Lonchura striata: one gene and its partner. The protein of the gene in region 1 interacts with the protein of each later gene in a biochemical or structural test. Links are inferred from orthologs where the notes say so. Each region holds a gene or a part of one and is shown on either strand. Other genes may lie near its edges.

The links. The genes of interacting proteins can lie anywhere in the genome.
Region 2: the proteins of MAP3K2 (region 1) and SMYD3 are reported together in a solved structure, tested with the Homo sapiens proteins (2 studies listed by BioGRID and IntAct, with this or other methods). The link is inferred for Lonchura striata from reciprocal best matches to the Homo sapiens genes MAP3K2 and SMYD3.

Annotation. Positions count from the first base shown.
Region 1 is NC_134610.1:14,452,747-14,459,855, forward strand, and holds the start of MAP3K2 (mitogen-activated protein kinase kinase kinase 2), read right to left. Parts: upstream 3,024-7,109; 5' UTR 2,923-3,023; intron 2,702-2,922; exon of another isoform or gene 2,616-2,701; intron 1-2,615. UniProt on the Homo sapiens protein: Component of a protein kinase signal transduction cascade. Regulates the JNK and ERK5 pathways by phosphorylating and activating MAP2K5 and MAP2K7. Plays a role in caveolae kiss-and-run dynamics.
Region 2 is NC_134605.1:32,556,113-32,563,821, reverse strand, and holds the start of SMYD3 (histone-lysine N-methyltransferase SMYD3), read left to right. Parts: upstream 1-4,668; 5' UTR 4,669-4,699; coding exon 4,700-4,863; intron 4,864-7,709. UniProt on the Homo sapiens protein: Histone methyltransferase. Specifically methylates 'Lys-4' of histone H3, inducing di- and tri-methylation, but not monomethylation. Also methylates 'Lys-5' of histone H4.

The sequences.
Region 1 (7,109 bases):
CTCTAGAGCAGTGGTTCCCATTTCCCAGGGGAATCCCTGCAACATCACAATACAGAATTTCATCTTTCCTGTTCTCATCATCACCAATCTTCCTCCTGCTTCTAAAAAATTACATTTAAGTTGAATATACTAAACATTCCAGAAAACTCTGCAAATAAGCATGCTTAATCTAAGAAACTGGGTTTACACAGAGCCATAAACTTCATTTGTCATATTATTAAATCAAGATGTCATGTCAAGATCCAGAATTGAGAAGTGAATCACAAATAACATGCTCAATTCTGAACACATTCCCATGTTTCCAATGTTATTCTACAAGCTATGTGCAATTATAGCATGCATGATCTATTTTGACCTTAGCACTACAAAATACAAAACATTAAAATAGCAAAAGAAGCTTTTCTTCTTAAAAAGATTTTTCTTTCTTTTCACAAAAAAATCTTTAACTGATTTTTTTCTTTTTTTTTAGTTTAATACTGTGTCAGTTTTACTTGAGAATTTTAAAAGCTTGCATTTAGAAATTAATCTTTCAGGACAGCAAATCTAATAGTTTGCCTAATTAGACAAACCTAGAGTCACTAGGCAATACACATATTTACATTAGCTTGTCACGCATATGAAAACACATTACATTTTCTGCAAATGTATTTAAGATGTACTTAACTACATCAGTCACATTTTCATCATTCATTTATTTTTCTCCAAGTCTAAACAAAAGATACTGTTAGTAGTACAGAATATCTAAGAAGATATTATTATAAAATATGTTCATTACTCCAAACTAAATGGGGATCTATGGATACTTCTCCACAGATCAGAACACCATTGGCTGTGTGTTGTGGAAGAGGGGGAACAAATGAAGGAAATCAATCTAAGTTCAGAGGATGACCAGTTAGACAGCCACCAAACAACTTGTCACGAAAACAGATTACTCATGACTTTTGACTTAGTTTGCTGAGGCAAAAAGTTAGCCTACAGTTATAATATGAAAGAAAAAAATATAAAACTGCAGATTGCCAAGATTTCAAAGCCTTTTTCTTCATAGTCCTTCACAAATACTTCTCATTAATGACAAGGTTTTAAAAACCAGTAATTCTGATTTGTATCTAAATATTAATAACTTATAGGAAATGATCAGGAAAAAATGTGATGTAAAAACTGTAACTGTGGACTAAAACTTCTGCTTCACCAACTTGCTTGCTTCCTCCAGAGAAAACTATAATAAAACAATCTCTCCTGCATTTAGAGTCACTAGGCTTTAAATTCCACAAGCATGTGGACTGACTGGCTTTCCCAATATTCATAGCAAATAACCCCTGATACATCTATGACCAAAATTGAAAGGTTATTCATTTTTTACCATAAATTAGTATTATCAACATAAAAACAAAACAAAAAAGCTTGCTTACTGATATTAAACAATAACATAATGCTCATTTCACTACATGAATAAATTCTGTCACAGCTCTCTATTTAATAACATTTACTATAAAACTCCTAAGATTACCAAGCTATTTTGGAAAAAAAGATTCCTCTGACAGTTTAGAAATCTCAGCAAGCCAAGGCAAGCAATGCAAAAATTTCTATTTTCTTCATCTTGCTCTTCTATTAGTGCCAGGTAAACCACCTGTTCAAATACCAACACAGAGTTCATCAAGGCAAACTCTACACAGATTTTTCTTCTCAAGCAATGAGTCAATCTGACAAATGTTATCTTCCTGTTCTGCTTTATCAACACACACTAAAACCTCGGGGTGGGGGGGGGGAGGATCAAATTAATTATACACAGCTTTGCTACCTGAATCAAATCTGGGGTCAATACGTATTGGTGGCAGTCATTACAGAAAACAGTGTAAAGGAAACAGGAATTATAGCAAGTTCTGACTTTTAAATAGATTTCTGAGGAAATCAGTTATTTACAAAGTCACGGTAAGGAAAGGTATGGGTGAAAGCAGGAAAAGATAGTGACGAAAAAGAATTATTCTAAGGTTTTTCAGTGTGGTACAAATACTAGCTCATCAATGTCCTTTCCCTTAGAATTATCCCTAGGGAATTCCACAGGAAAGAATACTTTCTCGGGTATCTCCTTAGTAAGTGCTTCGCCACAAGAGAACCCAAGGTATTGTGCAAGACAAGCCTGTGGCCATTCACTCTGGTAATACGTCTCTGCCATACACACAGCAATACAATTCTGGAGGCCTCCAACGCTCTGCAACGTGCTGCATTGTTTAAAGAAAAGAAACGCTGTAGTTGAGAGACGTTTTCTGCGCGGACTAGAAATCCCCCTTGTTTTAAGGCAGGCTTCTATTATCTTTTACCACCCTCTTAAAGGACAGTGCATGATACAATACAGCTTAGAAGCTCCCAGCTAATTTAGCGCTTTGATCTTCAGTAATGCCACAGCCAAAAACTAAGAAGAGATTTACGAAGCAAGAGAAACCAAGGGGGGAAAAAAAAGGCAGAAAAACCTCCCAACCTCGTGGGTGCTGCAATGCACTTCAAAAGCAACACGGGAATAAATAATCAAACATTCACTTTTTCCCCTGACAAAAACATCTCGCAGAATCTGACCTACATACCCAATTCACAGCACTACCACTGCAGAGCAATTCCAAGACGAGAAACCACAGCATCAGCGAGCAAACACAGGAAGGTTCAGGGTGACACAGAAATACTCGGCAGGCACGTAAAAACACTTCAGGTAATGCAGCGGTAATGTAAGGGAGCAACATTAGCGCGTGTCTCCCGGCACCGCAAACAACTACGGTGCCGCGCAGCTCCACCCGCACCGGGCCGGGTTCGTGCTGCCCCCGGCCCCGGCACCTCCGGGACCGGCCCGGGGCCCGCAAGGCGCCGGGGCAAAGCCGCCCCGCGGTTCGCACGCGCTCGGGCCGCCGCGCCCGCCCCTCCCCGCACACCCACCTATGTCACGGCGGAGGCCGGGCGGCCGCCGGGGACCCCCCGCGCTTCCCGGCGGCGGCGGGAGCAGCCCCGGCTGGGCGGGCGGCGCGGAGGGAGCGGCCAGGATTCCGGAGCGGAGCCCACCCCCCCGGGGGAGGGGGGGAAAGGGCCCGGGGCCTGCCCGCGCCGGAGCACGGCGGGGACGGTGACAGGCGGCGCCGCGGCCGGCGCGGAAGGAGCGGTGCGGCTCGGCGGGCGGAGAGGAGCGGGCAGGTGCCCGGGGGCGCTGCGGCCGCGGCGGGGCCGGGCCGGGCCGGGCCGGGGGTCCCGTCGGGCGTGAAGCGCCGCGGCCGCCGCTGCTGCCGCCCGCGAGCTCCGCCCCGCGCGCGCCGGGCCCCGTGACGGGAGGAGCGCGAGGCGTCACCGCGCGGCGGCGTCACGGACGGGGGGCGGCGCGCGCCCGGCGGCTGCGGGGGCGCGTGCGCGCCGGGACGCGCCCGGGGTTCGAGTCCCGCCGGGGACGCCCCGCGGCACCCCCGGGCCGAGGGCACCGGGGCCGTGTGGCTCCGCCGCAGCGCCGCCGGACAGGCCGGTGGGTCAGCTCACCGCTCCCGGACAGCCGAGTGTAAGAGAAGCCCGGGCTGGTGCCGTTCCGCGGGATCGGCGCCGTGCGAGGGCAGGATGGGAAGGGGCAGCGCGGTCCCACCACTGCCATCGCTCACTGTATAAATCCCGGCCCCGCCGCAGCCCGGCGCAGGACGCGCCGCCCTGACCTGCCTCTTATGGGGGCTGTGCGCGCTTTTAGGACGATTTGTTTAGAACGGCGCTCTGCCGCCTTCGGGACGCCCATTTCTGCCGGCACAGACTGACCGCTCCGCAGGAGGCACCTGCTTCCCGCAGGAAGTCAATGCATGCAAGGAAGAAGGATGCTACCCTCAGTTAATCAGCGAGGAAGCAGTCCCTGGTACGTAGCAGGCCAGCTATTACAGCTACCCTTGCGGTCTTAAGTAGCCGATGACGGTGAATAATAGCATGGCACTGTAATTAGTTTTGTACAGATTTACCAGTAACCTTACAGGCATGACTACTGTGTGCGAGATGCACAAATGACCTGTGCATGTTTAGTGGATGCCCTTTGAGACACTGCCAGGCCCGGTGTGTTCACACAGAGCTGTACAGAGACAGCAGCGACCTTTGCTGGGGCACCTGACTCCACTGCTGCTCACATGCTGCTTTCTGGGCATGTGCTAAGAGGTATTTAACATGTAAGACAGCAAGAGGTTTGCAAATCCTGAACAAGCACTCAAAATCTACCCAAAACAAGGGTTGGGGGCTACATTGGTCACCCTTAACAAACATGTGAAATAATACTTGAACAGAAGTTTAAGATTTACATATCAATTTGCAGTGGGAACCACATATAAAACTAAGTAATTGCCCGCAAAGTCCATAACCTGATTGAGATCTTCTACCAAAATAGACTTCAAAGAATTATAAAAGAAAATACCATCATAGTCTTTAAAAGGCACTGAAGAAGCCAGTGCTAAAGAGCATCTGATGCAGCACATCCAAGGCACAAGGCACCAACTCACTGATCCCAGAGCCATCATGCAGGGGACATTGTCATCTCAAAGCTAAGACACTGCTTCAGACTTGCGAAAATTGTGTCAGTGGTGTTCACAAGACATTTGTCATGATTAAGGGTCTTTAATTGGGAAGTTAAAAAGGTGACCTTTACTGCCAAACAATAGGGAAACAGCCAAGAAAATGCTGATGTGTGATGCTCCTGCACCATCAAGCAAAATCAATGAGCCACAGCTGCTTACACAGCTTTGAATACACATCCAGTGTTTCCCTTGCCTTAATGTTCCATTTCATTGCCATTTGTCAGCTTTAGTGTTTTGTATCTGGATTTAACTGATGCAGGAGGGCTTAGCAAATGGAAGGTTTTGAAGTCAAAGTTCTTTCACTACAGAAGAAGCCAGGAAGGATTGTGGAAGATCATCCCACAGTTCTCTGCCCATGTGAGCTCTGTATTGCTGCACAAAGCCTGCCCAGCACAGAGCAGCATCCCGAGACTGCCATGCAGAGGTGATGTACATCCTGACAGGCATCAGTGTGATCATGACATAATCCTGAAAGCAGAGCATCTTCAGTATCAGGAACAGGATAAACAACTAAATATTGACTTTGAGATAGAAAATACCTATCAACATCAAGGATCAGCACCTATGATACTGTCTCACACTGAGCTCAGCCCAAACCCAGGGGCATGGCTCTGGGATCATCTATCATCCTACCAGAGTAAAATAAATCTTACAGGCACAGTGTAATTGCTGATTTGGAAAATAACAGTAAAAAATAGCTGACAGGAGTTGAAATAAAGTATATCAGTTATTTATCCATTCAGTTCAAACCCTGTACAGGTGACAGAAGCTGGGAGGTGTGGGGGTGGAAATTACAGAGTAAGCACATCTCAGGATAGTGTACTCAAGCAATTGACTGAAATCTGGCAGAATGGCTCTCCCTGAATTCCAGAATCAATACCTCATTGCAATGAGAGGTTCTTACCTCCTACATGTATTGCTTGAGGCTATACATGTGCCTGTGTTAGTTGACACTAGATCCACAGCTTCTAAACTCTAAAAAGGAACAAACCAGCCCCTCTTCAGAGCCATGCCATCATTCTCCTTTTTCTCCCAAGTTTCTTTGCCTCCCCACCACTCCTTCCTATAGATGGCACCGTATTACCACGTTTTGAATGATATCCAGAAAAGGGTAAGTTAGTGATTAATTTAATAAATATTTAATCAAAGGAGGGGTTAACTGACAGAGGAACAAGCTGCTGGAGACAGAGCAGATAACAGAAGTCAAAATGCCTTCTTCTGGGAACTGCAGTAGGGTAAAGCTTGAGATGCCAGCATGTTATAACATAATCCAGTCTTTCTTCACCAGAAGGAGGGCCAACAGTCTGTTTATAAACTTAAATCCAGCTCCCATGCATTGAGGAAACAGCAGTATTAGTTCAAACCTTCACTAGTCACGTGTGCTATGCTCCTCTGCCTTCCCATGAGAGAAGGAAACAAGTGCCTTCATCTCAGTACTTTCACCCAATCCAAATGCACCATCACTGTAAGGCTAATGGGGAAAAAAAAAAAAAAAAAAAAAAAAAAAAAAAAAAAAGAAGAGCAAACATCTTGGGGAGGACAGTCCTAAACCACTGCTGGAAGATTTATAAAAATGTAATATCACTAAGTGATCTCGAGCAACAGTATTTATGAAGCAACTCATTTACCTTTAGGACTCAGCCATTTTCAGTAACCCAGAATAGAGACACTGTTGACTTTACTAATAAGGCAATTCCCCTAACATCTGCAGCACTCAGCCATTTAACACAAGGCTGCTATTTGAGATGGCAAGGGGAAACTGGGAGATACTGATTAGAAGTATATTAAATTACACTATTTTGCAAAGAGCACACTTTCTTAAAGATTATAGGGGATATTCTGTGTGCCTGTTCAGAAGACTAAACACAGACATAAAAAGCTTGTAACAAGCAATGGTTGCCTCATATTTGTTCATTTACATCTTAAAGCAGACAAGGGACCTTACTGCAGAATGACATTGCACAGGCTATTCTCCCTTCAGCAAACACAATTGTTAGTCTTTAAAGAATGAAGATTTTTTACAACCTAGACTTCATTTTACACTAAGCAAGCCCAGAGAATAATCAGACTTCACTTTATCCTAAATAAATACCCTGAATGAGCAATATTCTGCTTAAGAGTACAGATACAAAGAGTTTCTGTATCTTATGTAAAACATAAGGCAAGTGCAGTTGACAGAAATTGACAGAAGTTCCCCTTCAGTGAATTACATTGCTGTCACAAATGTAAAGTTCTATGACACATATTCAGATATAACACCAGATAGTGGTGTATTGTAGCAGTTGGTAAGCACCTATTCATCCATCAAATGAATATCTGATAAGAGATAGGCAGAATACGCAGAGGTTTGGCCAGAGGTAAATACTAAAGCCACCAAAAAGAGATTTCTAACAGAATGGTAAATGTAACTGTCATTCCAACATTCTTCTCTTTGCTTATTAGAATTATACAGTGCAGTAAATGTTTACATTTCAGTGCTTGGTCAGTTAATCTTGATTCTTCCTGAGGTTCCTTAGCCCTTTTCTCAGTTGCTTTCACCTC
Region 2 (7,709 bases), on another chromosome or scaffold:
TCTTGTTGCAGCAAGATGTCTCACACCTCCAGCATACCAGGAGAAGTATTCTATACATGAAATGGAACACCACCACTGCCTAAATAAATTTCTTCAGCTATGTGCTGATAAGATTTCAAACATGAACTGAAAACAAGAAATTTGTTTTATTTTGATGCTGTTGCAAAGCAGCACTTAATGATCCAATGCAGAGACTAACAGCAGGAGTCTGTAAGTGGAAGGAATATTGCGTAACTGGGGACTTGAAGTGAGATTTAATGCTCAACAGAAACGCACTATTAAGGCTAAGTGTGAGCAATGTTTAGCCCTGATCACAAATGTGAAATGGAGGGAGAAATGCCTGCCATGATAAAAATTATTTTAGTATTAATGAAAAAGATTGAAAATGTGAAAATGACTATTGTATATGAATAAATACACAGGGAATGAAAATTAAGTAGGTCTATATATTTGATTAATTAATGCTATCCACTCAGTAATTCCTACTGTTGTAGGATTTTAGCTTTTGTAGGATAATGTTGAACTTTCACTTCACTTTCAAATTTTTAATTGTATATGAAGGCTTGTCATACATTTCTGTTACCATTTTTAACCAATGCTGTATTATTTGTATTCCTTTCCTTTGCATAACTGCCTTCTTTTTTTTTCAAGACTGATTTAATACATGAACCTCTGAAACATGAACCACATGTGACGCACTATCTAGTAAAACACTTTTAAGTATTTCTCTCAGTCTTCCAATTTTTTGAGGAGCTGCCCAAAAATGCTGTTTGGCATTCCATATTAAAGCACCAGTATATCATAGCTGATATATTGACTGTAACTTCGGAGATGCTAGGTGTTGGTCTTTTCTAGTGGCCCTCATCACTTGTGCCATCTGTCTGGGAAAGAGAATTATGACTGTGCTAGCAATTGCCTAAGCTCTTCCTACTTACCTATATTTAAATCATAACAAACACAAATAGAGACAGAAACAAACTTGGTCCAATTAATGAGAATTTTTGCCACTTGGAATTAGGTCAGTTAAGTTGAACTCTATAGTCAGTTCACTTTTGATCTAGAAGAAGGGTTTCTGACCTTGCAGTAATTAACCCAGTAGATGCTGTGGTAAGAGGTTGTTAAGGTGGAATGTGTCTGTACTGGCTGTAAACCTGTTCAGCATTGGACATTTTAATAATTAGAGCTCAGCCTTGCAGGCTAATGATAATGTTGATGGAAATATCAGCATAAAACTTGAGAAACAGATTGTGTGGTATAGTTTAGGATGTGCAAATGTGATAGGAAGAAACTGAGGCTTCCTCAGAAGCATGTTGAATTAATTGTTTTGTCAGACTGAACACAATCTGTGGGGCTGCAGATTGAAAACTCTGACTTGAGTTTTGTATGACATTAATTAGCAGAGCCATACCTTTCTTCTGTAAATGCTGAGAAAAAGGAAATAACAAAGTTACTTTTCTGGAAAGTAAAAGTAGGAGATGTTTATTCGCTCACATTATAGCCTTGTTTAACAGCTATTGCATCTTTCCTCATGTGGGCTGTTTTAACTTGTCACTGCTAAAATAAGCACACTGACTGTCTCCAGCAGATAGAACACAACATGCAGCAAGCACAGGAAGCCCTAGGGAAATTAGGAGTAGTTAAGATACACCAAATGAAACAGTCGATTACTCATAATGTCTTTAAGCACTCATGTGGTTGATCCTATTGATACAACCCCTAATAAACAAACAGCTCAGAACTTCCTGAGCTTGCTTCTGTCATTTGAAGGAAATTGACGTGTTTGGGGCAGGGAAGATACAATGGTTTGGTAAATTTCCCAGTTAAAAAAAATCAACAGATAAAATCTATATGAAATTACAAATTTGTGCTTAAAACGCTTCTGCAGTGATTTTTAATTTAACATTCTAGAATCAATTTTTCACTAGCCCACTAACATTGAAAGTGAAGAGACCTCTTCAAGAGATACGTGTTCATAAAAGATTTAACTGTACTTACAAGCTTTCAGCTAATTAATAGATAGCTATTCTATGCTGTTAGTGACACAGATTTTTTACAATTTTGTGCTGTGTTGTTTGGAATGGCTATTGCACATTTATGAGTAAGGAGCAGAATGTGAATGATTTCACATCTGTTTCTCTAAATTCATGTTGTAAAACATGCCATCCTGAGATAGAAGAGCTAAAGCTCCATGACCGTGTCTCCTGGCAGTAAGGACATATGACTAATTCAGCAGCATCAGCCACAATTAAGTGATATTTCCTTCAAAACTGCCGTCATTACACTCCTTGACAGCTTCTTCTGTCCAGAATGTGTCATGCACTTCAAACAGCTGCTGAGAAGTCTGACCTGTTTAGGTCTGTGTATAACTTGGTCATATAAAAATACCATGCTGATAACAGGGATTAAATTCAACTAAATATATTCTTGGGATAAATAAGCACTTACTAGGATATATATCCCTAGTGACATCATACTTTAGAGAAAATTCAGACTGATGATTCCAATGTTGGGCATTCCATTGATCACCATTGCTCAAAGACTGTTGAATGGCTCTCCTGGGGACATTTGTCATTAACCTGTAGATGGAGGTATGTAGAATCAGTTCTTCAGGCCCTTCATACAGATGTCCAAATATCCAACACTGCATTAAACTGTTCAATGCTGTGTTTGAAAGCTTATCTATACAGAAAATCTCTATTACTGCAATTATGTTTTCATATCACTTGAAATGCAATGTCAACTAAAAGCTGTTTTCAAGTTTCTGTGGCTTGTTTCCTGTACAACTTATGCCAAACTGATGGAAGTACTTTTCTTCAGTTATACATACTTCAAATCTTCCTAGAGTAGCTGGGCTCTTCAAGGATGTGATTTTCATTTTGTTTGTGTGTCAGTGTGACAAAAGACTGGCATTCCCTTGGATGAGTTTTTGTACTTTGCAAGTTTTTTTGTATTACTGGACATGTAAGTGAGAAAACCTGCCAAGAAGGAAAGAGAAAATAATGAAAATTAAATATATTTATATTCACTCTTCCCCAAGTTCACTTTTTGCAGTTCATGGATAGGCCTTTAGGTTTATGCATTTTATTTGACCATTCATTTCTTAAATTTATCCACTAATAGAGGCAGATGTTAACTTCTGTTATTACTGGGCTTGTTTTTGATACAGGTTTTGGGTGATGCCTGCTTAGAAACTAAAACATCATAGACAGGGAAATGCAGAACATTTAATAGGTGAAGAAGTAAAGCATACAGGCCAAATACAGAGCTAATTCCCTAATATTTTAATAACTGCTAAGGTTAATTCTTGAGAAATTCACAGTAACACTGTAATTTAACACATTTAAAAATTTGCTAGAAGAGCTAAAGATAAGCGTAATAACATGCATAATGATTTCACTAACAGCTAGATTGCTGTCAGTTCTTTTGGTAATGAATTACATCATTGTAGCATTAAGCAAATGCCAAAATATATTTTTCTGTGAGAATCCTCTGACTTTAGGCACCTTGGTTCTTCCTAATAGCAGTGGTTTAGATACGGATATTGCCATTCCTTATTACCTTGTTGCAACTTGTATGAAAACAATTCCAGACTGAAATAACAGTTACTGAGAACACAACTGAGAGTGTTTTAGCACTGTACAGCTGCTTCGGAACTGTTAGGTCTATGTGTCAGTGTTCTTTGACAGCATGAATCAACGCTCCTTTCCAAAGCACAAGCCCTACCTCCCTCTATAGGCATGATAAGGAAAACCAGGTAAAGCCGATCTGCAGTTTAGCAGGTTTAGCGTACATCATGAGTGTCATCTTATAAATGAATGAAAGTTATGCAGACCCATAGAGAAAGCATTTGTTTCACGAGCTTTGAGCACCAACATTTCAGATTAATGCTCTTATTTAATTCTGCAAGTGTTTGCTTTCTCCATTGTCATTTATTTGACTCATGGTTCTGACAAAATGTTATCTGGTGTATGGGGTGCATTCTCGGTGAGAAACACCACCGGGGCATAGGTGCAGCTACTGGCCCAGTCATATTTCTTTGTATTCAGATCACAGTGAAATCCAGAAATACATCCAGATGCCAGCTCACAAATATAATGTCCTTTTTTGGGCACGTCTTTTAACTGAATTACTGCCACATCCCCTCCTTTGTAAACCAAACTGTTTAATGTTTGGGGTGTAAATGTGTAAAGTGAGGGTGCCAGGAAGATGGAGCCAGGTACAGGAGGCAAGGGGCACAAAATGATGCCCGGGAAGTTCCACCTGAATATGCAGGAAAGCTTTATTACTCTGTAGGTGACTGAGCACTGGAGCAGATTGTCCAGAGAGGCTGTGGAGTCCCCCTGACAGGAAATATTCCAGACCCCTCTGGACGCGGTCCTGTGCAATGCGCTCTGGCGTGGACTTGCTTAAGCAGGGAGATTCCACCAGATGACGCACTGTAGCCCCTTCCACCCTGACCCACTCTGGGATTCTGTGATACGTATTATTGGCTGCCTCTTCAGGCAAAGGGCTGCCGTGCCCCTCTCAGTGCGGCCGTGCCGCGCCGGCCCAGCACCGCGTGTGCCGCACGCCCGGGCTCCATCCCCACAGGGGTCGCCCCGCCCTTGCCCTGATTTAAGATGGCGGCGGCAGCGCCGGGTCACGTGCCGGTGGGCGGGGCGGCCGCGCTCTCCTCTCCGGTGGCGGCGCGCGTGGCAGGATGGAGTCGGCTGCGCTGGAGCGGTTCCACAGCCCGGGAAAGGGCAGCGGTCTCCGCTCCCGTCGGAGGGTGCGGCCCGGAGAGCTGCTCTACCGCGCCGTGCCCTTCGCCTACGTCCTCACCAAGCAGCAGCTGGACAGCGTGTGCGAGCGCTGTCTGCGCAGGTACCCGCGGGAACTCCGCAGCCAGCCCCGCCCGGACAGCGCCGCCCCTTCCGCCGGGGCGGGGGCGCGCCGTGCCTGAGGGCCGGGAGTCCGCGCCCTCAGAGGAGCTGGCTGTGCCGGGCGGGGTGGGATGGGCAGGGCTGCGTGCTCCGGAGAGGAGCCGGCTGTGCCGGGATGGGCAGGGCTGCGTGCTCCGGAGAGGAGCTGGCTGTGCCGGGATAGGCAGGGCTGCGTGCTCCGGAGAGGAGCTGGCTATGCCGGGCGGGGTGGGCAGTGGTATGTGCTCCGGAGAGGAGCCGGGATGGGCAGGGCTGCGTGCTCCGAGAGAAGCCGGCTGTGCTGCGCTGTGCCGGGTCCCGCGGCTGTGCTCTGCCAGGGCGGAGCTCCTGGGCTTGCCGCTTCCTGCCTCTGTTTTTAACTGGGGGCTTTTATCTTAAGCGGCTTTTTTTGAAGATGTCGTCTCTCCCCGGGCGCGGGAAGTCCCTGGGGAAGTGTCCTGGGCTGACAGGAGGCGGCAGTGCCGGCGTGGCTTGGTGCTTCACGCAGTTTTCCCGCTGGGCTGGCGGTGCCGGGAGCGTCCGGCCGCCGCTCGGGGACTCCCGAGTCCGGCGGGGCAAGGGGGAGCTGTGCGCCGGCGTTCGCACAGCTGAGGGGCATCAGCCTTCTTGAAATAAGCAGCGGGCTATGCTTGAGTTTCGGGTCGCCTGGCCAGGTTTATCCCGTAAAAAGCACGTGGCTTTGAGACATGCCGTAAATAAATGCCTGCCTTCTTCCCGCATATCACTACAAGTGGAAACTGACACATAGTAACTTTCTGTGTTTGTTTAGAAGGAAAAAAAAATTTGGATTTTAAACTTGAACAGTATTCTAGCAAGCCGGATTGTGGCAGAGCTGTTAAAGGAGCATCTGTATATTAACACATGAAACATTCTGCTAGATGAGTTAAACCCCTGTATAATTGCCAAGATGTGAGGAAGAGAGACAGAACATTCAATATCACTAATTTTTCTTTTTTAGGTTTTTGCTTTGGTTTGATTTTTGTTTGGGTTGGGTTTTTTTTGGGCGAGGGGAAGGGGATTATTTTGAAAGCATTTGAAGTTTTGTTTGTTGAAACAGTCCAGGTGATTTGTGTCCTGTCCTTTACAGGCATGGTTCTCATTTAATCAAAGAAAAAATTGACAATCTATTTCAGGTGATGCTTGCATTTTATAAGATGCACCTTACATCTTCAGCATATTGAAAAAAAATCCCAACCAAAGTAAAAACCCAACAAAAACTCCCCCCTCCCCCCCCCAAAAAAAAAACCCAAAAAAACCAATACCCTAATAAATGCCAAACTCAAGAGCTTTTTAGCTATTATGCCTGTGAAGTCTGACTTGGGACATAACAGCCCTTCAGGGTGGTGACTGAACATTTTCTACTTGAAATTGTGAGAGGTTGCAGACTTCAGAAGACAGGCCGAGTGTAAGGAATGGGTGCCAGTCTGTAAGGAATACTGTGCTCCAGGACGGCTTAGATGAATGGAGACGAGAGATCTCTGAAGGCTGTTCTTAGAATATCAGGTTTATTAGGGATGGAGAAAGGTCTTGCTTGGAGCTGCCAGATGCAGCACGTGGCAAGGCCTGAGGGGATGGGGTAGCGAGGATGCTCTAGGAGAGGGTGGAAGTTCCAAAAGGGCATCGGCCCCTCAGAGACCCCTTATCAGCGGGCTTCAAGGTGGGCTGGAACAAGACTTGGGCCAATGGGGTTACAGACACCTGATGCTTCAGGGGAGGGTTACAGGTGTGGGATGAACCATACATTTTGGGGGTGAGATGGAACAGTCCATTTGACTTTTGGACCTATCTGTAGGTAAGGGTATTGTCCAGCCAGTAGGAGGGTTGTTTTCATCCTGGCTGTACTACTGTGAATCTTTTGCCAGGCAATTATATTTATCCATCCTTTCCAACAGTTGAGTGCAGTAACAGGTGGAATAAAAGTGAATCTGAGGTGTTCAGATGTACATGTGTAACCAGGGCATGTTTTGTGGGAGAAATAATAGTACTACCAGTTTGTTATATCACAAGAGGTTACTAATTTGTGGTTTTGGTTATATAGTGATAGCAGTTAAATTTTAAAAAGTGACTAAGGAAGTAAAAAATATATTTACACCAATCTGTTTTCCTTTGCAAAATATGTGTGAGTAGACAAAATTTATAGATCAAGACTGTCCAAGCTGACATTTGTCTAATTAAAGGATATATATACATCCATACAGAGATATTTTTTTGAATGTATAAAAATTAGGCAATTAATGAAGTACTGCTAAGCTGTGATGTGCAATAGAACTGTTTCATCTATCTGGATTTTTTGATCTTGTTGAATCTGGTGTGGTCTTTTTTCAAAGTGAGGTACCAGAAAAAAGTTACTGTTCTCTTCCAGGACTACAGATAAAAGTCACATTGTCCACTACTGTTCCTGTTTTTCACTCTGATCTTTAGGTGGCAGTGCAGGAACACAAATTAAAAAAAAAAAAGTCTAATTCTTAACGTTGATTTAGTGGTTTAGCAATCCTTTTATTGATGCAATTAATGTTTGAGGCTTTACACTGACGTGTAATTCTATACTTTTGTCTGCTTGTAGTTGTGAATGTTGCTTGATGCAGTTTTAGGCTGTATGAGAAGTTCTGGGTGAGCCAGAAGATGGGTAGTGAAGTGCAGAGTATCTTCCTTCTGGACTGCCTGCTGAGAGGCAGCATGGTCTTGCCAGGATCTGGGGTCACAGGCTTTGGATGGTGCTGACCTATTCTCTGGCCTTGGCCAAGTTCCTACAGCAAGGGTCTGATGTACCAAAGCAGGGTAAGGTTG